Linked DNA regions of Macaca fascicularis. The protein of the gene in region 1 binds, or shares a complex with, the protein of each later gene. Links are inferred from orthologs where the notes say so. Each region holds a gene or a part of one and is shown on either strand. Other genes may lie near its edges.

Region 1 (14,395 bases):
GCTATGGACCCAACGAAAGCCTGCGGTTACTGCGTCTTCACAAACCCCTGCAAAAATGAGTTGGCCGGTACTTACCGTTCATCAAGGGAATTACAAACAACCCCGCCGTAGCTTCTAGGAAGAGGGGCTCATTTCATTCTTACCTGTCTTGAGCTCATCCCCGTCTTCTGCCACCGCTCCCTTTTTCCCACGCTTCGGCATTCCCGTAACGAACGCTCTTCGGCACCTGTACCGCGTCGCCCACCAAAGCAGTATTTTTACCGCGTTGCCTACAGACGCAAAGAAATCATGAAACCAGCTAAGCCTGGGGAGAAGACTCCTCTCAAGAGCGTCCCCGCACCAGGTCCCGCCTTTCAAACCATGTTATCTCTAAATCCTTTCCCCGCCTCCGTGCATCATAGGCCCTTCAGCCCCTCACCCACGTAACTAGATCATTTCATAGTGCCTTGTACCCTACTCGCGAGATCTGCCCTCCAGCCAATTGAGGATCTTAATTAAGGGTCCTGACTCAAGCTTGCCCTTCAGACTGCCAGCGAAGCCCCTCTTATGAGCAAAAGAGCAACCCCGTATCTGCACCGGTCCGATGGCAGCCTAGCTCCTCCTAACCCGAGCACAAAGAAGGATGCACGCTGAGCCCCCCACGTGGGTAGCGGACCTGGTCACGTGATCAGAGGCACGCGTCACATGGCCGAAGAATGCGCGTGATTGGTCTGTCTGACACCACGTGACGAAGTCGCTTGGCCTTGCCTCTCTCAACTAATTCTCTAGGAGACCTAGGGCCCCAACCCTCGTTCGGGCTGTTTATCGTTGTGCCCGACGCACGGCACATTGTTTGACTCTGACTTAAGAGTCTAACGCTGTGCAAAGGGAAAAAAAAGTGGAGAAGGTTGGGCTGGACCACGGGAAAGATATAGGAAAACGGACAGGATTGTAAAGCACAGAGTCGGCTCGGCGTCCCTGGCAGTTAGGAAGACAGGTCCTTGGAGGGGCCTTGGCGGGTCTCCGCTCGCGGGAGTTCTGCGCTGTCTTTCCCACTGTTATCTGCAGGCTAGCCCGCTTCCTCTGCGCTCCGGAAAGCTGCGGCCCAGCGCAGACTAGTGAGGACTTCCACAGCTCCTGACGTTGCTAGGAGTCCTGTCGGCGTTTTCTCCCAGGCTCCGCCATGCCGGCGGTGCTGGGTTTTGAAGGCAGCGCCAATAAGATTGGCGTGGGTGTGGTGCGGGATGGCAAGGTGCTGGCGAACCCGCGGCGGACTTATGTCACGCCTCCGGGCACAGGTGGGTGAGTAGGGGAGTTAAGAGTTTTCGGCGCACTTCCCCGCAGAAAATCAGCCTTCCATCTTCCTAAATACTAGTGAGGTGCAGCTTTTGATCTGAGTCTTATTGAAATTATGTGATATTATTAACGTCACAAGGCTGATGACTAGAAGAGTTACAAGCACTTGGACGTGGATCTGATGAGTTCGTTTACCGTTTATTGAGCTCATTTTATGTGCTAAGCATTCAGAAATAGATGTTATGATACTGCTGTGGAGTCAGACATATAAATAGATGTTTATACTACAGCATGATAAACAGTGTAATAGAGATGGACTCGAAATATTCTGTTTAAAAAACGCTTAGCAGGAGTATATATTCCAGTTGCCCTGAATATACACTCCTTTTTAAAAAAAATTTATTTTTTGAAATATTCTAGGATGAGTAGAGAGATGAGAGTGGAAAGACTCCCAGCTTACATGTCAGAGAACTGGCTGGCTGTGCTGTATTCACATTAAATATTTATGTTTTGGACATTTGGTCTTTATTTTTTATTTTAATTTGTTTTTGAGACAGTCTTGCTCTGTTGCCCAGGCTGGAATGCAATGGCACGATTTCGGCTTACTGCAAGCTCTGCCTCCCAGATTCAAGAGATTCTTCTACCCCAGCCTCCCGAGTAGCTAGGACTACAGACAGGTGTGTGCTACCACACCCAGCTAATTTTTGTATTTTTAGTAGAGGCGGGGCTTCACCATGTTGGCCAAGCTGGTCTCGAACTCCTGACCTCAGATGATCCGCCCACCCCAGCCTCCCAAAGTGTGAAAATTACAGGCATGAGCCACCGCCCGGGCCTAGTCTTTGTTTTTAAAATGGGAATAATACCTGTATCATTAGGTCTTGAAGATTAGATGAAAGTACCAAATACGTCTGGGTGTGGTGGCTCACGCCTGTAATCCCAGCACTTTGGGAGGCCCAGGCGGGGTGGATCACCTGAGGTCGGAGTTCAAGAACTGCCTGACCAATATGGAGAAACCCTGTCTCCACTAAAAAATACAAAAAATTAACCGGGCGTGGTGGCACATGCCTGTTAACCCAGCTACTCGGGAGGCTGAGGTTGTGGTGAGCCGAGATCATGCCATTGCACTCCAGCCTGGGCAACAAGAGTGAAACTCCGTCTCAAAAAAAAAAAAAGAAAAAAGAAAGTACAAAACACGTTACCACTTTTAATAAGCCATTGTGTCTTGCCTACTCTCCCCTCAAACACTTGCATACATAGGAGAGGGGCGACTGATTTGCATGTATCTGAAAAGCCTCCCTGAACAGGTGATGTGACAGATTACTCATTAGAAATAGGTATGTATGTTTAGCATTCACTCCTCTAGGCACTTGGGCACTGGGAATACAAAGATAAACAAAATACTTACTGCTTTGAGATACTCATGATTAAGCTGAGCAAACCACAGAAAATTATTATGTTGTAATTGTTAAATAAATGACATCATCATGCACAGAGTTCTGTAGGGTCACAGAGAAAGAAGGTCACCAGGCTGGGCGCGATGGCTCAGGCCTGTAATCCCAGCACTTTGGAAGGCCAGGGCAGACGGATCACGAGGTCAGGAGTTTGAGACCAGCCTGGCCAATATGGTGAAACCCCGTCTCTACTAAAAATACAAAAATTAGCTGGGTGTGGTGGCGTCGCCTGTAGTCCCAGCTGTTTGGGAGGCTAAGGCAGAAGAATTGCTTGAACTCAGGAGGCGGAGGTTGCAGTGAGCCGAGATCGTGCCACTGCAGTCCAGCCTGGGCATCAGAACAAGACTCCGTCTCAAAAGAAAGAAAAAAAGGCGGGGCGCGGTGGCTCACACCTGTAATCCCAGCACTTTGGGAGGCCGAGGCGGGTGGATCATGAGGTCAGGAGATCGAGACCACAATGAAACCCCGTCTCTTCTGAAAGTACAAAAAATTAGCCGGGTGCAGTGGTGGGCACCTGTAGTCCCAGCTACTTGGGAGGCTGAGGCAGGAGAATGGCATGAACCCAGGAGGTGGAGCTTGCAGTGAGCCGAGATCGCACCAGGCCACTCTAGCCTGGGTGACAGAGCTAGACTCCGTCTCAAAAAAAAAAAAAAAAAAAAAAAGATCACCAAAGGGTATGGGTAGATACCACTTGCATTGAGACATGAAGGCTGAGTAGGGTAAGAGGAAGAGAATTTCTGAAAGTTGAACAGCCTATATAGAAGCTGGAAAGAGTGTATCCGAAAATGTGGAAGATAGGATGCTTGGGGAAAGTGAAAGGACTCTTACTACATCACTAAACCTCCTGTTGCTTTCTTTAACTTCCTACCTACCTTTGCTACCAAAAATCCCTGTGATCTCTGACCTGTGTTCATTTTCTAGGATTCCTTCCAGGTGATACAGCCAGGCATCACCGAGCTGTTATCCTAGACCTGCTGCAGGAGGCACTAACAGAGTCTGGATTAACCTCCCAGGATATCGATTGCATTGCATACACCAAGGGTATGGCTGGGAGAGTGGTCAACGATGGAGGAATATACCTGCAACCTGGCTAGGTCAAAATAGCCAACACCTTACCTCTGCCACCACCACTACCCCTACCCCACCTCACATCCCTTACTTCCCCCACCTATTTTTTTTCCAATCTCTAGCATTGTAACTTCCATTTCTATCTCCCTAGGCCCTGGCATGGGTGCCCCACTGGTTTCTGTGGCTGTTGTGGCCCGTACTGTGGCCCAACTGTGGAATAAGCCATTGGTGGGTGTGAACCACTGTATAGGCCACATCGAGATGGGCCGCCTCATCACTGGAGCCACCAGCCCAACCGTGTTGTATGTCAGTGGAGGAAATACACAGGTATTTAGAGTGCTCTACCCATTCCATCTCAATTTCCGAGGCACTGAACCAATATCTTCTTCGTTCTATCTGAGTCATGGGAATGTCAGGAACAAAGCTGAACTCATCTGAACCTAAAATACTGTAGACCAGAAAACTCCCAACCGAGTTTGTAACATTGCAAATTTTGGCAGCATGTTCAGAACATTAGATGACTTATCATTATCAGACTTTATATCTGATCATAAAGATTAGGAATTTCTACTTCAGGAAAGGAATGAATGGTAAGGATTGAAGCCTTCAAAATAATGAATATCTGAAAGATCTTGCATTATTTTGAAGCTTATTTTTTCTGTAAATCTTAGCAACTGAAACTAACGGTTACTGGGCATGGCAACTCACACCTGTAATTCCAGCACTTTGGGAGGTCAAGGTGGGTGGATCATCTGAGGTCAGGAGTTTGAGACCAGCCTGGCCAACATGGCAAAACCCCATTTCTACTAGAAATAACAAAAATTAATTTGGCGTGGTAGCAGGTGCCTGTAATCCCAGCAAGTTGGGAGGCTGGGCAGGAGAATTGCTTGAACCAGGAAGTGGAGGTTGCAGTGAGCCGAGATCACACCATTGCACTCCAGCCTGGGCAATGAGAGCAAAACTCTGTCTCAAAAAAAAAAAAAAATAAGGAACTAAGGGACGCTACCTGATTTATTATTTTAGGGCAACTACATGTTTTGTTTTTGTATTACTGGGGATGATTATATAGACTTTGTTGTTCTAAAAGTTCAGAAATATAAATAACTATAAAAATACTTTATAAATTATAGAAGGTATTTTATTTTATCTTATTTATTTATTTGCAACGGAGTTTTGCTCTTATTGTACAGGTTGGAGTGCAATGGTGCGACTTTGGCTCACCGCAACCTCTGCCTCACAGGTTCAAACTATTCTGCCTCAGCCTCCTGAGTAGCTGGGATTACAGGCACCTGCCACCACACATGACTGATTTTTTGTGGTTTTAGTAGAAACGGGGTTTCACCCTGTTGGTCAGGCTGGTTTTGAACTCCTGACCTCAGGTAATCCACCTGCCTCGGCCTCCCTAAATGCTGGGATTACAGGCGTGGGCCACTGTGCCCAGCCAGAAGATATTTTAAATTTATAAGTGAAGCTAAAGTTGTTTGGGATACCTTATATGACCTTTTGAAGGTTGGGATTGGATTCCTTTCCAACAGAACACTTAATTATCATTAGAAATGGTTCAGCATTGTCCCCAGCCCATGAAAGGGTTGTGTCTAGAAGATGAGGCACGTGTTTCCCATGAAAACGATGCGGAAACTTCAGCAGGTAGAGGGCAAGTAGTTGGTTGAGGCCTGAAGGATGACATACAAGGTTAGAGACTTGGGTTGTGGAAAGTATAATGGAGACTACAAGAGGTGATAAAAAGGAGCAATGGCGGCTTTGTCTTCCTCTTTTAATGTTTGCTTAGGTGTAAGAAACAGGGAGGGTAATTAGGTGGAGAGGAGTGGATAGCAGGAGCAGAAAGGCAGGGTTTTTCCTTCTCCTTTGTTACTATCTTTTTGACAGCAGATTAAGATGTGTATCAGAAAGGGAAGAAATCCCTGACAGCACTGGGAAGGGAAAGGGACTTCTTAAGGTTCCTAGGAAACCCTTGGTGTTCTAAGTCTGCAGCATATGTGTCAGTAGGTGACAGATAATCTCTGTGCTAAAAGTTGGTCACATATGAAGAATGGCCTTAATATGTAAAATAGTTGGGCGTGGTAGTGGGCGCCTGTAGTCCCAGCTACTCGGGAGGCTGAGGCAGGAGAATGGCACGAACCCGGGAGGCAGAGGTTGCAGTGAGCTGAGATCACGCCATTGCACTCCAGCCTGGGCAACAGAGCGAGACTCCGTCTCAAAAAAAAGAAAAATGGTCTTAAGTGGACTGCTATTGCTGACTTGGCTGGGCCATTAATCTGCCTCCATATGAGATTTTTGAGTTCTTCAACTCTGCTTCTTGGTTCTAAATACCAGTGCCCAGCTGGATACAATGATTCACACCTATAATCCCAGCACTTTGAGAGGCCGAGGCAGGTAGATTGCTTGAGACCAGGGGTTTGAGACCAGGCTGGGCAATATAGTGAGACCCGATCTCTACAAAAATATAAAAATTAGCCACACATGGTAGGCCAGCTACTCAGGAAGCTGAGGTGGGAGGATCCTTTGAGCCTAGGAGGTCGAGTCTACAGTGAGCTATGATCACACCACTCCACTCCAGCCTGGGAGACAGAGTGAGATCCTGTCTCAAAACAACAAATACCACTGTCACTATGTCATAATTTAGAAGGATTCATGTTCTCTGCCTCCCAGCAGAAAAGCCTGTTCCCTACTGTCAAGACTGCATTTAAGGAATATATTAGGAACTTCTAAGCTGGAAAACAAATGTATTTGAAATGATAATTTATTTCTGCTTGGACCTAGACTGTCTTGTAGATTAGGACTCTATTCCTGGAATCCTCAGGGTATGCAGATGTCTTTTCAAATCAGAGCTGTAAAAACATTACCCATTCACCATTTGGGAAACACCTTTCTTCCACTTCTTATTGGAAGCTCTGGTGGTCATGTTGATCCTCTGCTATGTTTTTCTCCCAAAGCCAAATAATCCTGTTTACAGACTTGGGGTTTCATGGACATCCTCATCACCCTTAGGTGATTGCATACTCGGAACATCGTTACCGTATCTTTGGGGAAACCATCGATATTGCAGTGGGTAATTGTCTGGATCGTTTTGCTCGAGTGCTGAAGGTAAGCCAGTGGGGCTGCAGAGAACATAAAATGCGGGTGAACTTTTGGGAAGCCATGGAGGTGGAGGGAGGAAATAGTAAATAATCTTCTTATGCTTCTTGCATATCTGATTTCATCCTATTCCATTCCCTCTTTCCTTATTTTTTTCTTCTGTTAGATTTCTAACGACCCAAGTCCAGGATACAACATTGAACAGATGGCAAAGCGGTAAGGGGACATAAGGTGGAAGCAGGCTGGCTGCTGGGGCTTCAGGGATTTCCCCATATACGGTATATATGAACAGAACTTAGGAGGGGCTTTGGAGGGTCAGAAGCCGGTTGACTGTAGGCTTAGTGCCTTGTGTACTCATTCCCACACAGAGGCAAGAAGCTAGTTGAGCTGCCGTACACCGTAAAGGGGATGGACGTCTCATTCTCAGGGATCCTGTCTTTCATTGAGGTGAGTGTGAGAGAGGTGATGAGACGGGGCACCTTCATGCTTTTTAAATGAGGCATATCTGTTTTACTTACTGTTGTATTTCACATAGCTCAGTATGTTCATATAGCACATTCCTGGTCCATATCATGTGCTGAGTAAATTCATTTATAAGGTATTCATTGAATATCTCTGTGTGCCAGGTACTGTTCTAGGTAGTAGAGATGCAACATGGAGCAAAACAAAAATCCTTGCCTACATGGAGCTTAGATTCTAAATGGGGGGGTGGGGGAGATAAAAGAAAGAGGAAAATAAATGAAGTGTCAGATGATGATGAGTACAGGTGAAAAATTAAGCAGGATAAGTAAGGGGTGAGACATGTTAGGACAAGCATTCAAAAAGTTAATTATTGCATCTTAAATGAATGCTGTTCATTCTATACCATGATGCCAGTGAAGGGAATGTGGTACAGGATGTGCTGGTAACTTGAATTGTGGTGAAACATGGTCACTCTCCGAATGCATTAACTTTTGTTCTTATGTAATCCCAAAACCATGATTTGCTGATTCATTTGTTTTTCCCTTTAATTGTAGGATGTAGCCCATCGGATGCTGGCCACAGGCGAGTGTACTCCTGAGGATCTGTGTTTCTCCCTGCAGGTAATGCAGTAAAAAGCTGGGACAGAAAGTTGGGACTGGAGGAGGTTTTATATTGTAGAGCAGAACTAATCTGGGGCGCCCCTCTAATATTTTCTCCTTATGTGTCCCCGACAGGAAACTGTGTTTGCAATGCTGGTAGAGATCACAGAGCGAGCCATGGCACATTGTGGCTCCCAGGAGGCCCTCATTGTGGGAGGAGTGGGGTGTATGTATTACTGAACAGTGTTCCTCTTTCCTGTTCTTAGCACTGTGCGTCTTCCTTCTGATACTCTTAAATCATTAAGGGTTTGGAGTAAGCTTCCCAATCCTTGCCCCGGTCCCCTACGTCATTGTTCTAAGTAAGTGCACATGACGTGTTCTGCTGGACCATGAGGAGATAGCTAAAACTAAGCTAATCCTGTTCCCTACCTCTTTGTAGGTAATGTGAGGCTACAGGAGATGATGGCGACAATGTGCCAGGAACGTGGAGCCCGGCTTTTTGCTACAGATGAGAGGTAAACACACTTTCCCTTTGGTTTCTTTTTTACTGCTCCCTGTTATAGGGATTTTCCACCCTTAGATCCCAATTTTCATATCTCTTGCATCCCAGATTCTGTATTGACAACGGAGCCATGATAGCCCAGGCTGGCTGGGAGATGTTTCAGGCTGGACACAGGACCCCACTCAGTGATTCTGGGGTTACACAGAGGTGAGTGATTCAGCTCTTGGTGAGGGTAGATTTTTGGGATGTAGACAAAACAGCAGGGAAGAGAGTCCAGGAACATGAGGGCAGAGAAGAATGGAAGATGTTAAGGGCTAGCTCTCCACCATGTTTCTTCTGTTTTTCCACAGGTATCGGACAGATGAAGTAGAAGTGACCTGGAGGGACTAATAAGATTAACAGAATCACAGTAGACAGTTCCTTAATTGGAACCCAAAGGACCCTGTGCCTCAATCTCTATCCTGATGTCACGGGAGTCCTAGCAAAGCTGTAGACTCCAAGCAAGGCTTGGGGTCCTTTATGGAACCCCAAGATGACTCAGCAATAAAATATTTTTGGTTTTTTGGTTTTGTATGTTGGTGATTGGATTGTGTTGTTCAGGACCAATATAGATTTGGTGCTGGATAAATTCTTGTTGGAGGCTGCTGCTGTGGAACGAAGACTGAGGTTTTTTTTTTTTTTTTTTTTTTTAAGAAACGGAGTCTTGCTGTGTTGCCCAGGCTGGTCTCAAACTGGGCTCAAGCTGTCTTACCACCTCAGCCTCCCGAGTAAGCATGCCACTGTGCCTGGCAACAATAGTATTATCGTAACTATTAGTTTAGTATCAGATCCTGTGCTAACTGCTTTATTTTCATCCTCTCATTTAAATTCTTTGAAGTAGGTACTCAAGACTTCTCTCAAAATAGCCTGGAGGCTAGGTGCAGTGGCTCACACCTATTATCCCAGTGCTTTGGGAGGCCAAGTCAGGAGGATCCCTTGAGTCCAGGAGTTTGAGCCCAGCCTGGGCAACATAGCAAGACACCACCTATTTGAAACTTTTAAAAATTATCTGGGCATGGTGGTGCACATCTGTAGTCCCAGCTCCGAGGGAGGCTGAGGTGGGAAGATAGCTTGAGCCCAGGAGTTTGAGGTCGCAGTGAGCTATGATTGAGTCACTTCTCTCCAGCCTGGGTGACAGAACAAAACCTTGTCTCTTAAAAACAAACAAATCAACAGCCTGGAGATTGGTCTAATTTGTAACTCTAGAGTAAAACTGCATCTACTGCATATACTTTCTCCTACATGCATATCCATTGGCAGGCTTGAGGAATGCCCGTAGATGCACATCCCTCCCTACCACAAACAACAGAACGAATCTCATACCCTTTATCTTATTGACGTTGGTATCAGTCATCACAATTAGTCCTAAACTACTGAGTCATCTCATATTTTACACTTAATAACCACGTATCTCCACTCTGTTTTGTCTCCATCTACCTAACTTTTCCAACTCCAGAAGCTCTTCTACTGTACCCTCTGGAAATGATGGCCAGTCATTTGTCAAATTCTCTGTATCCTCAACCTCTTCTCTGAATGTTCCTTCACATTTATGCTCTCCAGACTTGGTTTCTTATGAGGACTCTGCTTCTCCTAAGGTGGTGTTTTCCCTTCCACACCCATTGTACACTGGGCCTGGGGGTGGTGCACGTGTCCTCATTTTTCCTCATACTGTTTCCAGACCATTGTCCCTCATCCCTAGTACCCTTCTGCTTTGAAACAAACTACCACATGAACACCACTCTTGTCATAAATCTTGATGATTTCAATATTCAGGTAGATCATACTAATAGCCACTTATTTCCTTGGTCATGTTCTAGAGCTGCAGATCCTCCACATCTCAGTTTCAGACATCCCACTCTCTACTACCACCACCTCCTGTCTTTCCAGTTCATTTTCTTTAATATGATAAATCCAACAGAATCCGCCTCATTTCCCTTCCTTTTTTTTGCTTTTGTCATATTCAACTCATTGCCTACTTTAGACCCATGCAGCTGAAAGGGCTAGTAAAAAATAGCCATGCTGACTGATCTTACTTTAAACTTATGACCAAGACACTAAAATGGGGGTCCTTTATGCCACCCAGAAATATTCCATCTCTCTAGTCTTTTCACTTGCCCTCTTCTCTGGTGACTGTTTCATACCTTCTGACCCCTCAAATCTCTTAACATCTCCTCCTGTTCTGACTCTTACCTTAGTTCGTATTTCAGTAAGAAAATAGAAGCAATCGGTATACATTTACAGGCTTCTGCCCCTGAAACTAACCACCTTCTAGCATCTGTACCCATGTACTCTGCCTTCCTGTTACCATAAACCAGTGGTTCTCAACCAGAGCTGATTTTGCTTCTCAGAGGACACTGGATTGTCACTGTGGATAGGAGGGTATTTTGCTGATTAAAAGTCAGGGCTGGGTGCAGTGGCTCACGCCTGTAATCCCAGCACTGGGAGGCCAAGGCAGGTGGATTACTTGAGGCCAGGAGTTCAAGACCAGCCTGACCAGCATGGTGAAATCCCTCTACTAAAAATACAAAAAATCAGCTGGCATGGTGTCGCATGCCTGTGATCCCAACTACTCGGGTACGAGGATCACTTGAACCCAGTAGGCGGAGGTTGCAGTGAGCCAAGATTGTGCCACTGCATGCCAGCCTGGGTAACAGAGCGAGACTCTCAAAAACAGGGATAATTCTCCCTCTTTTCCCGGAGAGTCAGTATTTTCTTCTCTCCTGAATCTTGCCATTAGCACACAAATATGCCACTGTTTTCCTCATTTTACAAATAATGCCCACTTCGCCCCATTTGCCCTTCCAGCTGCTTCCCATTTTTCTGTTCCACATTACAGCAAAACTTAGAAAGACTTGTCTTCGATTTCTCTCCACCAGTTCCCTATTAAATCTCCACCAAAACTATTCTTATCACAGTCACTAATGACTTGCACATAGCTAAATGTAATGGTGTATTCTTCATCCTCAGAAGCTGTCGGCAGCATTTGGCACTCCCTCTTTGAAAAGTTTCCTTACTTGGCTTTAGGATGCATTCTTTGGTCTGCCTCCTAGCTTACTGACTGCCCTTTCTTAATCTCCTTTGCTAGTTTCTCCTCATCTCCACAGAGTTTAGTCCTCAGACTGCCCTCTTTACACCTACACCTGCAGTGACTTCATCTAGTTGTATACATTAAAATCATTTTGATGGGCGTTACTCCCAGTTATAGTTCCAACCTAGACTTCTATCCTAAATACCTAGCTGCCCATTGGCACCTCCACTTGGATGCTTAATAAGGATCTCAAATTTAACATATTCAAAATTGCACTTATTCTTTCCCCAGCTTAGTCCTGTAGTCTTTCTTGTTTCTGTTAACAACTCCATTCTTCTAGTTGTTCATGTCGAAGTATCTGTGTCAGTTTCCTTTCTTCTCCAATTAATCAAATCCTCTTGGTTCTACCTTCAAAATATATCCAGAATTCCATTTCTCCTCACTTCCACTGCTGCCACTGTAGAGCAAGCCAGAATTATGTGTCTTCAAGATTATTGTAGTAGCTGGTCTTTCTCCTTTTATCATTGCCAACTTAAGAGTCAATTCTCCACATAGCAGCCAGAGTGAATAGTGTTAGCATGGAAGCCAGATCATGTTACTCTTCTGCTCAAAACCCTCGGTGTTTTCTTAATTCAAAAGAAAAACCAGAGTCTTTCTAAAGGCCTGTGAGACTGTCTATGATCCACTCTGCCCTTCCCTGCTTACCACTTTCATCTGCTACTCAATTCCTTGTTTGCTCTGCTCCAGCAACACTGACTTTTCTGTTGGCCTTTAAACATCACAGTTGTCCTCTGAGGTGGGAGGAGAATATTGGGTCCTTGGTAAATGCAGAGTTCACTTTCTAATCCTTTCTGGTTTATATGTCACTATCTTCCCTTTCCTATTCTCCCTGGAACTTGGAGAACTTGGGACTTCCTGGGGAGCCATGGAGTCCTTACCTTCATCATCACCAAGCCAGTACACGTCCACTGCCCTCCGGCCCTGCTTGGACTGGAACATTGAGGCTGCTGGAGTAAGGATGCTGTCTGAGAAAAGAGAAGAAAAGAATGAGACAAACTCCTTATCCTTATCCAGCTGAGCAATTGCTCCTAATTCAGTATGATACCTCTCCTTCCCTAAGAGAATTATTGCTATCCCAGAAAAATGTCATGTGGCTTCTCTCCACATTGACTAACCACATTCCCTTTTTATTTTCCTTGGTGCCTGCTTCTCTAACCCACTCTACAACTCTGTTTTTCCTAAAACAGGACATGTTTTAGGATTGGTCTCCTTCCTGCTAAGTATCCATCCCTATGACATCCAAATATGGTGGGTTTACTGGGAAAAGTGGGGGTATAACATAATGTTACCTTTTTGTGAAGTATGCCCATTGTAAACTGGTAAGGTGTGTAATATTATTAGAATTGGGGTAGTGCCAGAAACCCTTCTCTAGAATTGGGCCATAGCCCTTCCTGACCACACTCCAGCTCACCCTGCTGTGTTGTATCTTTTGATCCAAATTTCTCCCACCTGAATTTAGAAGATACCTTTAAAGCTTTCCCCCACCCTAAAAATTTCAGGAGAACTAAACCTTAAGTAAAATTCATTCCTCTCACATCCTGGTACGCAATTCTATTCAGTCTTAGGTCTTGGTAACTCTAGATGAGTTCATTTGCCTCCCAGACTGTCTTTGAGAGCCAATTTCTATACCTCCCACACCACATCCTTCTCTTAGGCCCACTTGTTTTCACTCACCTTGAGCTTGGTGTTGAGTAGCCACGCTTAACCCTCCTGGCATCCTTATGAGGCCTATGCCATAGTTGTAGTCAAAGGCATCACTTTATGGAGAGGAGAGAAAAGGAGATAAAGGAGGAAGAGATGAAGGGGTTGGGGTCTCTTTCCTGGGGACACAGGCACTGCTGGGCAGCTGTTGGGAACAAGGCTTTCACTACAATTATATTTCCTCTTCTTTCTAGTTCCTGACGATTTCTATGCCCATCTCACTCTTCTCTATCTCACATTCACAGTAGAATGCCTATGTAGTACTCCATGGTAGATATAGGCCCTTTCTGCCAATTTTGCTTATATCCCAAGACCAGCACATTGGACTTCAGTTGGTTCAAATGCGAGACCTGAAAGGAGAAGCAAAAAGGAAAGAAGGGGATATGGTATGTTGGGTGAGGGGTGACAAGAAGACTTCCTTTTTCTCCAATACCCCTCCAGATTTCAGGAAGCTAGTTTCCTTCTGTGTCTGAGCAGATAGCCCTGCAGAGGTTCATGGTTCTTGCCATGGCCTTTCCCAAAAAAGCCAAAAGTCTGCAAGAACCAGTCGTAGTATTAAAGAATGGAGTGGACCAAGTGGGAACTGTGGCAAACTGGAGAGCACCAGACTTATCCCATGGGACAGGAGCTACTCGGCCCCAGCTAACTGTGTCATGTGGGTTGGAGACCCAGGATTAGCAGATGCCTGGATCTTAAATGTTGGCAGTTTATTTTAAAAATTGTAAATGCTGTGCAATCAGAAAACTCATTTCCGGGCAAGATTCCATCCATAGGCCACCATTTTCAATCTCTCGTCTAGAGACTTCCTTACTGTAAGTTCTTAATGTGATCTTGCACATTGGTGAGGCTCACTGAGTAGGACAGTGCCATGTGGTAGGTGTCTGCCTGGACTGAAGAGCCCCAGTTCACAACTGTGCAGAGGAAGGGGTGGTGCAGAAGGATTAGGGGTGGCGCATCAATCGTCAGGTAGAAGAAGAAACAGATTTTACTCTTCGTAGTTCTGGGCTTCTTGTGGGGGTCAGTCTCCTGTTGTAACTCACTTCCTGACTCCCTACCCACCCGCCTACTCACTCACCAGGTTTTGTAGGTCATATAACAGCAGAAGGGTAAGCAT
Region 2 (15,742 bases), about 73 Mb from region 1:
CAGAATTTTCACTTCGGTTAATGGAAAGGAAATTACACATTGAAACACATTCACTCAAAACACTTTAATGTGCACAGAAAAAGACCTAAAAATACACACACCAAAAGTGTTAACAGTGGTTAGGCTTGGGAGGTAAGAGGTGCAGGAGTGAGGAAGAACTCGTTTTGAATTTGGCATATATTTCTCATTGACATTTTTTTTTTTTTTTTTTTTTTTTTTTTTTGAGACGGAGTCTCACGCTGTTGCCCAGGCTGGAGTGCAGTGGCGCGATCTCGGCTCACTGCAAGCTCCGCCTCCCGGGTTCCCGCCATTCTCCTGCCTCAGCCTCCCGAGTAGCTGGGACTACAGGCGCCCGCCACCGCACCCGGCTAATTTTTTGTATTTTTAGTAGAGACGGGGTTTCACTGTGGTCTCGATCCCCTGACCTTGTGATCCGCCCGCCTCGGCCTCCCAAAGTGCTGGGATTACAGGCTTGAGCCACGGCGCCCGGCCGACATTTTTAAGAGGATGCTGTTTGTATACCCCATTTCTTTCCGTAGAGAGACAGAAGAAATTGAAGGTCATTTCTTAGAAAGTGTTAGGGGGCAGGGGGAGGCAGTCAGGGAAGGAGAGGAAGGGAAGAAGCTCTGGCTTTGGGAAAGTCCTCTCCAATATTTCATTCTTTTTTTTTTTTTTTTTTTCTTTTTTTTGAGACGGAGTCTCGCTCTGTAGCCCAGGCTGGAGTGCAGTGGCCGGATCTCAGCTCACTGCAAGCTCCGACTCCCGGGTTTACACCATTCTCCTGCCTCAGCCTCCCGAGTAGCTGGGACTACAGGCGCCCGCCACCTTGCCCGGCTAGTTTTTGTATTTTTTTAGTAGAGACGGGGTTTCACTGTGTTAGCCAGGATGGTCTCGATCTCTTGACCTCGTGATCCGCCCGTCTCAGCCTCCCAAAGTGCAATATTTCATTCTTATGATGTAAAAATGGAAAGAACGGTTGAGATGTGTACCAATTATAGATCCGACCCAGATTCATAAGAAAAGATAAATCTAGAACCCTTTCACCATCCCGCACTGCCTCCCGAAGAGCCAGAGGCTCAGATATGACAAGCAGTTGAGGAATCAAGGCTAGAGGGGACACACTCCCAGGTTTAACTTCCAATTCTCTTACCTCGTCTTCAGGATCAGGATAAGGTCTCTTGCAAATGCAGTACAATCCAAAAAAGTTGTCATTGTACTTATTGCCAGAATTTACCTTTGCTTTGTCCTGAAATATAATATTGATTTCAATAATAATATGGTCTAATTTTAACTATAATTTCACACATTATAAAATTAATACATTCAATACATTTCCACATTATTTCCCCCAAGAGGCTGATCTTTAACTTTCAAAGTAGGAAAAAAAAACCTCACTACTACTAAAGGGATACTTTTTTCAGGATACAGGGAAAAAATAAAATTTTGTGTTTGTTTTTGTTTTTTTTGGTGGTAATTAGGAGAAATTAAATACACCTATTCAGTAAAGTGGAGATAAAAGTTAATCATAAATATTAATTATCAATCTATGTGAACTGACATTGGCCTGGAATTTCAAGGTACTTCTTTTTCCTTTTTGATAGAGATGGGGTCTCACTACGATGCCCAGGCTGGTCTGGGTTCAAGCCATTCTCCCACGTAGGCCTCCCAAAGTGTTGGGATTACACGTGTGAGTCACCACGCCCGGCCTTATTTATTGGTTTTTCTTTTTCTTTTCTTTTTTTTTTTTTTTTTTTTGAGATGGAGTCTCGCTCTGTCTCCCAGGCTGGAGTGCGGTGGCACAATCTTGGGTAACAGAAACCTCCGCCTCCTGGGTTCAAGCGATTCTCATGCTTCAGCCTCCCGAGTAGCTAGGATTACAGGCACACACCACCATGCCCAGATAATTTTTTGTATTTTTAGTGGTGGGAGCATTTCACCATGATGGTCAAGCTGGTTTCGAACTCCTAACCTCAAGTGATCTGCCCCCCTCGGCCTCCCAAAATGCTAGGATTACAGGTGTGAGCCACTGTGCCAGTCTATTTATTGTTTTCGTTTTGAGATGGAGTCTTGCTCTGTTGCCAGGCTGGAGTGCAGTGGTGCAATCTCAGCTCACTGCAACCTCTACCTCCTGGGTTCAAGCAATTCTCCTGCCTCAGCCTCCCAAGTAGCTGACCGAGTAGGTAACTGGGTGCCACCATGCCCAGCTAATTTTTGTATTTTTAGTAGAGACAGGGTTTCACCGTGTTGGCCAGGATGGTCTCGATCTCCTGACCCTGTTTATTGTTTTTAAGTCATATCCTTTGCTTTAAAAGCCTCAGAGAATAAGTACAACCAATATAATTAAACCTGAATTACTTTCAAGTACATCTCTTCCCCAAACCTTTCATATTAATTACCATCTATCTTGTAGGCTCTCAACAGTTTATATAGTTTTTCCAACAAAGTAAAAAATTAAATGGCCATCTGCAAAGAATAAGCATAAGAACTTCTTTTTTGGAAAATATAGGTATTTGTTTTTTACCCCCTCTGGCAAATATTAACCCCAGCTGCTCTAACTGCATTTATAGTTACAGTGTTTACTTACAGGAAGTAATTTGCATTCCAAAGTTTTAAACTTGCTGTTTCCACAATCACAACGAAAATTTCTGAAAAAAGGAGGAAATAACAATTTTATTTTTCTTTTTACAAAATCCAATTTAAAATTTCTTCAAGCATTCAAGCACATAAGACTTCACAATTCTGGAAATTAATATGTACAGAAGCAAATATTTATATCACATACACACAAACACACACAAGTAAAATGATGGTAGAGAAAGATGAGTAGTTTGAGTTTGTACCATATTATGTTTTTAAAGGCTCTGGAAACTCCAATTATATAAAATAATTACATGAAATTTCACTACTGTACAACAGCTTTGCATGAAAAAACATGATAAGGAAAAAGTGTAGATGGGACAGAATCTACACTTCAAAAGCATTTAGTAACAATCTCTGACTATGTTTACCTTTTTGTGTATAGCTCAAATAGTTTGTGACTTCCATGACATTCATAACTGCAAGCTAAACAAATTCCTGCTGGTTCTTCTCCCTCTGGGGTGCAGGTACTACAGGCATATAGTGCTTGCCTCTTTACTGAGCCCTAAAAGCCCCCAAAATGGAAAAGAGAATTAATGTAATAGCATGGCTTACCTAATACCCACACTAGGAACTGAAAAATAATTAAAATCAGATTATCTGTGGTCAAGATCTTTCTGTAAAAACCATTAAGACTAAAAAGTTTACACAGCAGAGCATCAACCAAAACACAGTTGTGTTGCATGTTTCATTTTTATACTAGTGCTTTTCATGCAAGCACTTTTTTCTTTCTTCCTAATTTATTTATTTTTTGCAGAGACGAGGTCTTGCTATGTTGCCCAGGCTTGTCTCAAACTCCTGGGCTCAAGCAGTTCTCTGCCTTGGCCTTCCAAAGTTCTGGGATTACAAGCATTAGCCATGACACAAGTCAGCACTCCTTTCTTAAAGTGATAGGATGTCTGAATTTGTCAGTCGGCTGTGAATAAATGAATCTGTTTAATCATTTTAACAGGTGAAAACACAGGAGCATATGTATAGGTTTATGTAAGTAATATCACACTTTCATCCTGGAAAATGTTTGTAAATCCACCAAAGAGAGAATCAACACATGCAAAGAATCTCTTTGATTTTTAGGAGATGCATGCTGAAGTATTTAGAGGTATAGTGTCATCATGTCTGCAACTTATTTTTAAATAGTTCAAAATTTTAAAACAACAAATTTTAAGTAGAAAAGGAGATAAATGTGACAAAATGTTAAAAAGTGAATATGTAGGCTGGGTGCAGTGCTCACGCCTGTAATCCCAGCCCTTTGGGAGGCCAAGGTGGGCAGATCACCTCAGGTCACGAGTTCAAGACCAGCCTGGTCAGCGTGGTGAAACCCCATCTCTAAAAAACCCCATCTACTAAAAATATAAAAATTAGCTGGCCGTGGTGGCGGGCATCTGTAATCCCAGCTACTCGGGAGGCTGAGACAGGAGAATCGCTTGAACCCGGGAGGTGGAGGTTGCGGTGAGCCAAGATCATGACATTGCACTCCAGCCTGGGTGGCAAGAGTGAAATTCCATCTCAAAAAAAAAAAAAAAAAGTGAATATGTATAATAGGTATAGTTACCTTCCTCTAGGAAGGAGGAAGAATAGACAAGGAGGCTTCCGGGATGCCAGTAAAATTCTATTTCTTTCTTTTCTCTTTTTTTTTAAGTTCTTTTCCAATAAGCCTTTTGCACTCCTAATGTTCTATTTGTTGATCTGGGTGGTGGGAACATGCACACTTTCCTTTCAAGCTGTGTACATGATTTGTGCAAATTTCCATATTTTTTTTTTACCACAATAAAAAGAAAACATTAAGGGAATCCATTTTATAAAGGTAACTACACTTCAAAAATAGTTTACATACAGACTTAGAACTTTTTTTTTTTTTTTTAAGGAAAGCAGGCGAAAAATTGTTTTAGTGGTGACCAAAGGTTTTAAAGTACCTGGGGCTATGTCTGGATACCAGGTTTATTCAACAATCTAGCACTTTGCAGTGTAAACTAAACTTGGTCAACAACGAGAACTGGTATTATGACCTCAGTTCATACCACATAATGAATGCAAGTCTCTCCTCTCATCTCCCCAGTGTTCCAATCCACCCCTCTGCCTCGGTAACCCTTCTTCCTGCCAGTTCTTATCCTTTGTCAGTCTTCTTCCTACCCATCCTTTTCCATTTTTGTGCCTCGAAGTATAGGGTGAGTCACTAAACACATCACACCCCCTCAAACACTTGCTCACTCACAACGTCTTCCAAATGCCAAATAGATCCTTTTCTCCTCTCTCCCCTCCCCTGCCAGAGCCACTTGCTGTTCTGTTTCCGGTCTATTTCCAGGGGAGGAGGGCAGACTGCAGACAGACATGGGTACTTGCTCCATTTTGCCAAAAAAAGAAAGAAAAAGTACTAGCTAGCACTTGTCAAACTAAATTGCAGAGGAACTAGCTGTCAAGGAGCTCACCGCAAATCCCTATGGATTTGAAAATCTCTTTAACCTGACGTCTCCCATTTGGTCCCTAATAAATAAATAAATAATCTTAGGATGGGAAAAGCAGGGACAAAGATGTCTGGATCTGAGAGGTCGCGGGCTGGTTTCGTGAAAAGCAGTGGTGCACCAGGACGAGGCTGGAGAGGACGGACAGAGCAGCTGCTCCAGGGTCCTTCCTGGCTGGCCGGACAGAGTTAGAGAGAGGGGAGATGGGGGCCCCTGCTGGACACAGGCTGAAGGGGGCCCAGGAGGTTGGGGATAAAAGGGAAGGGTGGGCTTGGGGTAAGGAAGCGGCAGACTAACGGCGGCCCCGGACCACCACTGGGGAGACGACTGCGGCAGGCGGGAATAGGGACAGCCGGGCCGGGAAGGGGAGGTTCGGCGGGAGCCGCGGGAGACAAGGCCCGGGCCGCGTGCCCACCTGCGAGTAGGAGCACTTCTCGGAGTCGCTGCCGCCCAGGACAGCACACGCCTCATTCTCCAGCTCCTCGTCCTCCTCGAGGACGTCGACCAACGATACCACGGGCTCCAGCTCCGACTGCCGCCCAGCGGAGCCCTCGGCTCCGGCCATCCTCAACTGTCACCCGAACCGCGGCTCGGCCCCGGCGGAGGCGGGAAAAGCGGCCACGAGGGGCGTAGCCGGAGGAGGCGGGGCCCGAGTGCCAGGAACCAATGACAAGGAAAAAAGGCGAAGGAAGGGGGAGGAGCGACTTCCGACAAACGGATGTCACTCCTCTCCCTTCTGCCGCCTGCGCAGGCCACGGGCTGATTTCCGCCTCCGGGTGGCGCTTCCCGGTGTCGTGTTCTGGAAGCTTAGTGGTCACCATGGAGCTGCTGGGAGAGTATGTCGGGCAGGAAGGGAAGCCGCAGAAGCTGCGGGTGTCCTGTGAGGCGCCGGGTGACGGCGACCCTTTCCAGGGCCTATTGTCTGGCGTGGCCCAGATGAAGGAGCTGGTAACGGAATTATTCGGCCCCCTGGTACAGGCGGAAGTGCAGCACCGGGTGGCGGCGGCTCCAGACGAGGCCCTGGACGGTGAGCTCTGAGACGGTGCTGCAGCGACAGGAGGACGGGGCGGGAGCCAGGGGAAATTGGCTTGGGGAGCCCGTGTAGAGTGGCAGACTTGGACAAAGTGAGCCTCGAGGAAAGAAGAATTGCATCTAAAAATTTTTGGCGGGCCAGGCGAAGTGGGGCTCACTCCTGTAATCCCAACACTTTGGGAGGGCGAGGCAGGAGGATCACTTGAGGTCAGGAGTTCCAGAACAGCCAGGGCAACATATCGAGACCCCGTTTCCATTGTTATTTCAAAGATAATTTAAAAAATAAAAATTGTTGGCATTTATCACTATATTTGGGCTGCTTCTACTCAAACATTTCCACGACTCATCGCTATTTCATTTATTTCACTAAAAAACTTGCCGAATGCCTACTACTATTTGCCAAACCCTGAGCTGAGCCCTGGAGGAAGAATGAGGTCAATGCGACTCAGTTCCTGCCCTTGTGAAACACAAGGGGATTATACAGGCAGACACTCTTATTAAAAGTGAAAGTGGCCAGGCTGGTAGCTCACGCCTGTAATCCCAGCACTTTGGGAGGCTGAGGCGAGCGGATCACGAGGTCAGGAGTTCGAGACCAGCCTGGCCAATATGGTGAAACCCTGTCTCTACTAAAAATACAAAAATTAGCTGGGAGTGGTGGCGGGCACCTGTAATCCCAGCTACTGGGGAGGCTGAGGCAGAAGAATCGCTTGACCCCGGGAGGCGGAAGTTGCAGTGAGCCGAGATCGTGCCACTGCACTCCAGCCTGGACTACAGAGCGAGACTCCGTCTCAAAAAAAAAAAAAAAAGAACGTGGTTCTATGGCCCTCTGTAAGTGTTGCAAACCCAGAGACCCTCGGAAGGCTTCAAAGAGGATAAGACTTTTGAGCTGGAGTATTGAATAAAAAGGAGTTTTATCAGGTGTGAAACTACAGACATATTTGGAAGAGTACAATCTATCGCAGAGTAGGAACAGGTTCCAAGGAGTGGGACAGACTTAATTTTAACATGTATTAACTCCTAGAGACTCCCTTGCCTTTCCAGTTTTGTAGGTGCAGTTTGAAAGTAGAAACGTGAAGTTTAACTGCATTATTTTTTAAAAATTGCCTCGAATGCAGAAATAGGCAGGTACTTTTTTTTTTTTTGAAATGGAGTCTAGCTCTGTTGCCCAGGCTGGAGTGCAGTGGCACAATCTCGGCTCACTGCAACCTCTGCTTCCCGGGTTCAAGTGATTCTCCTGTCTCAGCCTCCCAAGTAGCTGAGATTACAGGCGCCCGCCACCACTCCCAGCTAGTTTTTGTATTTTCAGTAGAGACAGGGTTTCACTGTGTTGGCCGGGCTGGTCTCGAACTCCTAACCTCGTGATCCACCTGCCTTGGCCTCCCAAAGTGCTGGAATTACAAGCCTGAGCTGCTGCACCTGGCCAGGCAGGTACATTTTAACTGTCCTGAGCTGAAAAATCCAAGAATAGATATTAGAGTTAGGATTTACAATTCTCTAAGAAGAGCTTAAACTGTACTTTCCTTCCATCTTGGGAATTACATCTTGATAATATGGATGTTGGCTATGATCAAAAAGAACAATAACAAGTGTTGGCTGGAATGTGGAGAAATTGGAGATCTTGTACATTGTTGGTGGAAATGTAAAACAGTGTAACCACTGGGAAAAAGAGTTTGGTAGCTCCTCAAAAAGTTGATATGAAGTTACCACATGACCCAGCAGTTCCACTGGTAGTCCTCGCAAGAGAACTGGAAAGTATGTTCACACAAAAACTTACACATGAATGTTCATAGCAGCAGCATTTATAGTGACTAAAATGTGGAAACAACAATTGACCGGGCTTGGTGTTGCACCTTTAGGAGGTGGGAGGATCACGTGAACCCAAGAGTTTGAAGCTGCAGTGGGCTGATTGTTCCACTGCACTCCAGCCTGGAGGACAGAGTGAGGCCCCATCGCTTCATCTCTAAAAATAATGATAATTTTAAAAAATAGAAATAATGCAAATATCCATCAACTGATGAGTGCATTAACAAAATGTGGTGTATCCATACAATGGAATATTATTAGCAATAAAAGGTAATGAAGTATTAATACGTGCTACAACATGAATGAACCTTGAAAACATTATGCTACAGTGAGAGCCAGACACAGAAGGGTACATGTTATATGATTTTGTTTATATGAATGTACAGAATAGGCAAATCCATAGAGAGAGATTAGTGAGCTGGGTGCAGTGGTGGGCACCTGTAGTCCCAGCTACTCTAGAGGCTGACACAGGAGGATCACTTGAACCTGGGAGTTTGAGTCTAGCCTGGGCAACATAGCAAGACCCTCTCACTAATAAAAATTAAGGGGGAACAAAAGTAGATTAGTGGTTGCCGAAGGCTGAGGGAAAGTGACTGCTAATGGGCATAATTCATTTCTCTTTGGAGTGATGAAAGTGTTCTAGGATTAGAGAGTGGTGATGGTTGCACAATCTAGTGAATATACTAAAAACCACTAAGCGGTACACTTTTAAAAGTGGATTTTGGCCGGCTACAGTGGTTCATGCCTGTAATCCCAGCAGTTTGGGAGGCCAAGGCATGCAGATCACGAGGTCGGGAGATCGAGACCATCTTGGCCAACATGGTGAAACGCTGTCTCTACTAAAATACAAAAAATTAGCCGGGCATGGTAGCGCGTGCCTGTAATCCCAGCTACTTGGGAGGCTGAGACGGGAATCACTTGAACCCTGGAGGCAGAGGTTGCAGTAAGCTGAGATCGCGCCACTACACTCCAGCCTGGTAACAGAGAAAGACTCCATCTCAAAAAAAAAAAGAGACTGGATTTTATGATGAATGAGTTAATATTTCCAAAGAGGAAAGTGATAGAAAATAAAGATTTTAAACACTGAAATTCTCAAAATCATTTTAATCTAAAATGTGCATGGTTTTATTAATCTCTAAAGTGAAATGGTCTCGTTATCAACCACTTTAGCTATATATATTTCTTTCAACCATAGAACGTATTGTCATACAACAAATATTTATTTTAAAAGGTGATGATGAAGATGATGCCGAAGATGAAAATAACATTGATAACAGAACTAACTTCGATGGACCATCTGCAAAACGGCCAAAACCACCATCTTAACAATAGCCTTTATGACATTTAAAAGATGGCTGTTGTATCCCAATTGTCACACTAGGACATTTAAGGAAGACTTATGCTCTAATTTGGAAAAGCATTTGTGTTGTTTTCCTGGGACAATTTTGCCAAAGAGAAAACTGGTTTTTCTGTTTCTAGCAAAGACAGTAAAGGCTTAGAAATAAAATCTGTTTTCTTGAGAAATAAATTTCAGACCGTGGGAGGAAAATAGAACACTTCATAATATATAAAATCCTCTTAAGTTGGCAACTGAATTTTTATCATTGTTTTCTATTTTTAAAATAACCATTGGTTTGTGTGATGTCTACATCTTTTAACTTCTGCTTCTGTTATAAACAGTACGTCATGGTTCATAGGCAGTAACATTTCAGAGAACTGACATGAACAAGTGGTGAAAAGTGGGCATTAAATGTAAAAATAACAGTTCTTCATAAATAGAAGGAAAATGAGGAAATAGAAATACTGAAGAGAGAGTCCTTGAAAGAGACCCAAGGAAACCCTGAATTCATACCCATGTCAAAGATACAGATATCCTGAGATGATGCCGCTTGATGAATGTGCATTAATCTGATTTATCATGTACCTTAAGAGAGCCAGATGGGGTAGGGTATGCTTTTGTGCTGTGATATAGTATGTATACAGGTACAAATGGAAGGCCTTAAGTAAATAATCTGCGTTGATTACAATTTGGATATTTCCTCTCCTCCTGTAGCCATGCTTTGATTTAGCTTTAAAAAGATTATTGAATCCTTTAAAAATATATATTCCTAAAGTATGTATGTGTGTGTTTCTTTTCTGCTTGTCAGTGGGACTAAGGCATGTTTATTCACTATGCATCCTTCCTGATGTAGATAGCTTCAATGCAAAGAAATCAAGTAGCATGTACCTAGTAAAATACAAATAGTCATGGGATTTTAGAGTTGAAAGTAACTTTACAAACTATGTGATTTATTTCACAGATAAATCTCAGGATAAGTATTTGCCCTCAGATTACAGAGTACTGGGTTACATAAATAGCCTTTAGGTTTTTTTTAAGCTGATAAAAGGTGAGAGAAATCATTAATCAACTTTTTTTTTCTTTTTTTTTTTTTGAGACAGAGTTTCACTCTTGTTGCCCAGGCTGGAGTGTATTGGTGCGATCTTGCTCACTGCAACCTCTGCCTCCCGGGTTCAAGCAATTCTTCTGCCTCAGCCTCCCAAGTAGCTGAAATTACAGGCATGTGCATTTTAGACAGGGTTTCACTCTGTCACTAAGGCTGCAGTGCAGTGGCACGATCTTGGCTCACTGTCACTGCAACCTCCGCATCCCAGGCTCAGGTGATCCTCCCACCTCAACCTCTCAAATAGCTGGGACCACAGGCATGCACCAGCACATCCAGCTAATTTTTTTGTATTCTTTGTAGAGATGGTTTCACCACATTGCCCAGGCTGGTCTAGAGCTCCTGGACTCAAGGGATCTGCCCACCTCAGCTTCCCAAAGTGCTGGGATTACAGGCAAGAGCCCACCATGCCTGGCCTAATCAACTTTTTTTTTTTTTTTTTTTTTTTAAAGACTAAGTCTGGCTCTGTCGCCCAGGCTGGAGTGCAGTGGCCGGATCTCAGCTCACTGCAAGCTCCGCCTCCCAGGTTTACGCCATTCTCCTGCCTCAGCCTCCCGAGTAGCTGGGACTACAGGCGCCCGCCACCTCGCCCGGCTAGTTTTTTGTATTTTTTAGTAGAGACGGGGTTTCACGGGGTTAACCGGGATGGTCTCGATCTCCTGACCTCGTGATCCGCCCGTCTCGGCCTCCCAAAGTGCTGGGATTACAGGCTTGAGCCACCGCGCCCGGCCTAATCAACTTTTATGAATCACTTTTATTATGAAATAATTTAATTTTCATATCATTGAAAATCTATATACCTTTTCATATCATTGAAACACTGTTTTACTTTGGAACAGCAGCCTTCCACTAAGTACTCTTGGGCAATCAAACAATGCCAACTAGAAAAAGTTATAGATCGTCAGAAATTATCTGTTTAGTTTATGCTGATGTTTCTAATATTTAGCTGTTATTTATTATAGTACTGTTATCTCTATACAATCATTAAAGAAAAAACTGGTTGGGTGCAGTGACTGATACTTACAATCCCAGCACTTTGGGAGGCCAAGGCGGGCGGATCACCTGAGGTCGAGAGTTTGAGACCAGCCTGACCAACATGGAGAAACCCCATCTCTACTAAAAATACAAAACTAGCCTGGTGTGGTGGCGCATGCCTGTAATCCCAGCTACTTGGGAGGCTGAGGCAGGAGAATAGCTTGAACCTGGGAGGCAGAAGTTGCAGTGAGCCGATCGTGCCATTGCATTCCAGCCTGGGCAACAAGAACGAAACTCCATCTCAAAAAAGAAAAAAACTTACCTGTATATACGGAAAATAGATCACATTGTTAAATTGATATCTGAACCTTTTCTCTGAACATTTTATGTTTCCTTTGGAAAATGTGGGTATAAAGAAGAAATTTCAAGATAATATTTGTGTTTGTGGCCCAGTGTTTTTAGATTCTGATTTATAAGATTGGTCTTTTAATTAATTTTAATACTGATTTCAATTCTAATACTGTCTTCTTTGTAAGAAAGCCACATGTTTGACAAAGATGGGCCAGTATAGAAGAAATGCTTTGCCAGGTTTTCTAATCTGCTGCTGCGCTTGGGTGTCACTGTCACTCAGGCTGGAGTACAGTGGCACACTCAGCTTACTGGAATTCCTGGGCTCAGGTGATCCTCCCACCACAGCCTCCCAAGCAGCCAAGCACTAGGTGTGTGCCACCACGCCAGGCTAATTTATTTTTTATTTTAGTTCTTTTTTTTTTTTTTTTTGAGACGGAATTTCGCTCTTGTTGCCCAGGCTGGAGTGCAATGGTGCAATCTCAGCTCACCACAACTTCCACCTCCCGGGTTCAAGTGATTCTCCTGCCTCAGCCTCGCGAGTAACTGGGACTACCGGCATGCACCACCACGTTAGGCTAATTTAGTATTTTTAGTAGAGACGGGGTTTCTCCATGTTGGTTAGGCTGATGTCAAACTCCCGACCTCAGATAATCCACCCGCCTCGGCCTCCCAAAGTGCTGGGATTACAGACACCGCACCCGGCCTTTTTTTTTTGAGATGGAGTTTGACTCTTTTTGCCCGGGCTGGAGTGAAATGGCACGGTCTCGGCTCACTGTAACCTCCACCTCCCAGGTTCAAGTGATTCTGCTGCCTCAGCCTCCCAAGTAGCTGAGATTACAGGTGCCTGCCACCATGCCTGGCTAATTTTTGTATTTTTAGTAGAGACAGGGTTTCACCATGTTGGCCAGGCTGGTCTCGAACTCCTGACCTTAGGTGATCCACCCACCTTGGTCTCCCAAAGTGCTGGGATTACAGGTGTGAGCCACCGTGCCCAGCTACCAGGCTAATTTTTAAATTTTTTGTCGAGATGGGGGCCTTGCTTTGTAGCCCCGGGTGGTCTCGAAACTCCTGGCTGTAAGCGATCCTCCTGTGTTGGCCTCCCAAAGTGCTAGGATTACAGGCATGAGCCACCGCACCTGACTAATCTGCCTTCTATGGTACAAACAGCCACAGGCAAGCAGAATAAAGTTACTCTTTGAAACAGCTCCAACTTTACTTTTGAACAGGAAAGTCAACTGCACAATCCTACCTAAAAATAAGCTTGACATTAGACTTAGATAAATCTTTTAAAATGTGAAACATATGGAATTTATGCAAGATAGATGTGTTTTCTAAAAGTAAGTCCTTTTGCGTCACAGTAAGAAATGTTTATTTTAATAATAGAATTCTGTGGCCAAGGACGAGAACTTTTACTCTTTTATAACAGGTTGTGATTGCTTGGCTATAGTATTAGGTGGTGCAAAATTAATTTTAAGACATTTAAACCTTTTTGGGAAGAAAAACTTACTTTGGAAAAATAGGAAAAAAAATATGTGAGGAAATCAATTCCCCCCGCCTCTCCGTTTAGAAATGGGCATTCAGAATCGGAGGAATTTTTCTTTCTTTTTTTTTTTTTTTTGAGATGGTCTCTGTTACCCAGGCTGGAGTGCAGTGTCATGATCATAGCTCGCTGCAACTTCAAACTCATTTGGAAGGTAAGGGCTCAAGCAATCTTGAGTTCAGTAGCTCAAGATTCTTGAGGACTCAAACAATCTTCCCACTTAGCCTCTAGAGTAGCCAGGACTACAGGTGCATGCAACCATGCTTGGCTTTTTTTTTTTTTTTTTTTTTTTAAGAGACAAGGGATGTCTCAGTTGCATTGCCTAGGCTGTTTTCTAACTCCTGACCTCAAGTGATCCTCTTCAGCCTCAGCCTCCCCAATAGCTGAATTACAGACTTGAGCCACCATGCCCAGCTTAGACTTAAGAGGATTTATGCTTCTGCCACTAGTTGCCTTTCAAATCCTGGGCCAAATGACCTCCTTTGTCTATCTACTTATCCTTTAGATTTCAGTTTAAACATTTGCTTCAGGCAAACTTTTAAATTTTTTAACTGAAAAAGCCTATACTTTTAAAGGAAATAAAGTTTATGTTTTCTTCCAAATGAGAAAATCAGTTGGAGATGTCTGTGGCCCTCAGTTTATTATGTAGTTTATCTAGTTTCTATTTAACCTATTTAACCTAAAGATGCAACTATCTCTCAAATTGTTCAATCAATGTAAGTATAGACTATCATTTCTTATATTGCAATAAGATGCATACATATAAGACAACCTGAGGCTGAGCATGGTGGCCCACACCTGTAATCGCAGCACTTTAGGAGGCCAAGACGGGCAGATCACCTGAGGTCAGGAGTTCGAGACCAGCCTGGCCAACATGGTGAAACCCTGTCTCTACTAAAAACACAAAAAATTAGCTAGGCATGGTGGTGTGCAGCTGTAATCCCAGCTACTAGGGAGACAGGCAGTAGAATTTCTTGAACCTGGGAGACGTGGGTTGCAGTGAGCTGAGATTGTGCCACCGCACTCCAGCCTGGGTGACAAAGCAAGACTTCGTCTCAAAAAAGAAAAAAAAAGCCGGAAAATCTAAGCTTTTTAACTCAGTCGTCAACCTCTGTGTTATGACAAAACCTTTTTTTTTTTTTTTTTGAGACGGAGTCTCACTGTGTCACCCAGGCTGGAGTGCAGTGGCACCATCTTGGCTCACTGCAAGCTCCACCTCCTGGGTTCATACCATTCTCCCTCCTCAGCCTCCCGAGTAGCTGGGACTACAGGTGCCCGCCACCATGCCTGGCTAATTTTGTTTTCTTTGTATTTTTAGTAGAGACGGGGTTTCACCATGTTAGCCAGGATGGTCTCGATCACCTGACCTCGTGATCCACCTGCCTCGGCCTCCCAAAGTGCTGGGATTACAGGCGTGAGCCACTGCGCCCAGCCCGACAAAATCTTTATAAGCAATTCCTTGTATGAACTATTGTGATTGGTAGTTGAGCACCACACAGTTCAACACTATATCCATACTGGTGATGGGTGCAGATAAGCATGTTTGGGGAAATTAATAACACTACAATGTAAAAATCCAGAAACCATTGTGGAAAATATTAGTAAACGTGATTCATAATAACTGAAATTTCTGAACATTCTGTAAATACGGTCAAAATAAAAATGGAAAAAGTATTAAGTATTTTCAGCACAAATGACTAAGAACGAATTCTTTTATGTAGATCCCTTATATACTAGTCAGGAAAATATAACAGAAAAATAGGCAAAGGAAAGGAACCACAAGATCACAGAAGAAATACACATGGCTTTTCAGTGAAAAAAAAAATGTGCACTTCAAATAAATTGACATTAAAACCACAATGCAATACCATTTTTTTACTTTTCAGACTGAAAAATCAACAGTTTTGATGCAGTATTGAGCTGGAAAGGATGTGGGGTCTATAATATATTCATGGTGAGAGTGTAAATTGCTATAAGCTCTTAGAAAGTCAAGCTGACAATTCTGTTAAAATATTAGGCCGGGGGCGGTGGCTCACGCCTGTAATCCCAGCACTCTGAGAGGCCAAGGTGGGTGGATCACAAGGTCAAGAGATCGAGACCATCCTGGCCAACATGGTGAAACCCCGTCTCTACTAAAAATACAGTAAAAATTGAAAGTTTTGGTGTGCCTGTAGTCCCAGCTACTCGGGAGGCTGAGGCAGGAAAATAGCTTGAACCCAGGAGGCAGAGGTTGCAGTGAGCTGAGATTGAGCCACTGCACTCCAGCCTGGCAACAGAGTGAGACTGTGTCTCAAAACAAAACAAACAAATAAATAAATACATATATATATATGTATATATATATCACATGCTCTTTGACTTAGCAATTTCATTTATAGGTATTTGTCCTACAGAGTAACACGTGCACAAAGATCTATTTATAAGACTATTTGTTGCAGCATTATTAGTAACAAAAGGCTGGAGACAACCTAACTGTTCATCAGAAGACCATAATTAGATAAAAA

What was found.
Region 2: OSGEP (region 1) and GON7 share a complex: the UniProt entries of both Homo sapiens proteins name them as parts of the EKC/KEOPS complex. The link is inferred for Macaca fascicularis from reciprocal best matches to the Homo sapiens genes OSGEP and GON7.

Annotation. Positions count from the first base shown.
Region 1 is NC_088381.1:88,032,822-88,047,216, reverse strand, and holds OSGEP (tRNA N6-adenosine threonylcarbamoyltransferase), read left to right. Parts: upstream 1-1,010; 5' UTR 1,011-1,162; coding exon 1,163-1,277; intron 1,278-3,647; coding exon 3,648-3,767; exon of another isoform or gene 3,768-3,820; intron 3,821-3,945; coding exon 3,946-4,121; intron 4,122-6,748; coding exon of another isoform or gene 6,749-6,803; coding exon 6,804-6,899; intron 6,900-7,056; coding exon 7,057-7,106; exon of another isoform or gene 7,107-7,168; intron 7,169-7,258; coding exon 7,259-7,337; intron 7,338-7,906; coding exon 7,907-7,972; intron 7,973-8,086; coding exon 8,087-8,177; intron 8,178-8,390; coding exon 8,391-8,466; intron 8,467-8,561; coding exon 8,562-8,660; intron 8,661-8,803; coding exon 8,804-8,843; 3' UTR 8,844-9,026; downstream 9,027-14,395. Other genes in the region: DNA repair nuclease/redox regulator APEX1, read right to left, coding at 144-201. UniProt on the Homo sapiens protein: Component of the EKC/KEOPS complex that is required for the formation of a threonylcarbamoyl group on adenosine at position 37 (t(6)A37) in tRNAs that read codons beginning with adenine.
Region 2 is NC_088381.1:161,199,306-161,215,047, reverse strand, and holds GON7 (EKC/KEOPS complex subunit GON7), read left to right. Parts: upstream 1-5,857; 5' UTR 5,858-5,915; coding exon 5,916-6,123; intron 6,124-9,162; coding exon 9,163-9,257; 3' UTR 9,258-10,047; downstream 10,048-15,742. Other genes in the region: putative E3 ubiquitin-protein ligase UBR7, read right to left, coding at 1,151-1,246, 2,585-2,645, 3,009-3,142, 5,512-5,661. UniProt on the Homo sapiens protein: Component of the EKC/KEOPS complex that is required for the formation of a threonylcarbamoyl group on adenosine at position 37 (t(6)A37) in tRNAs that read codons beginning with adenine.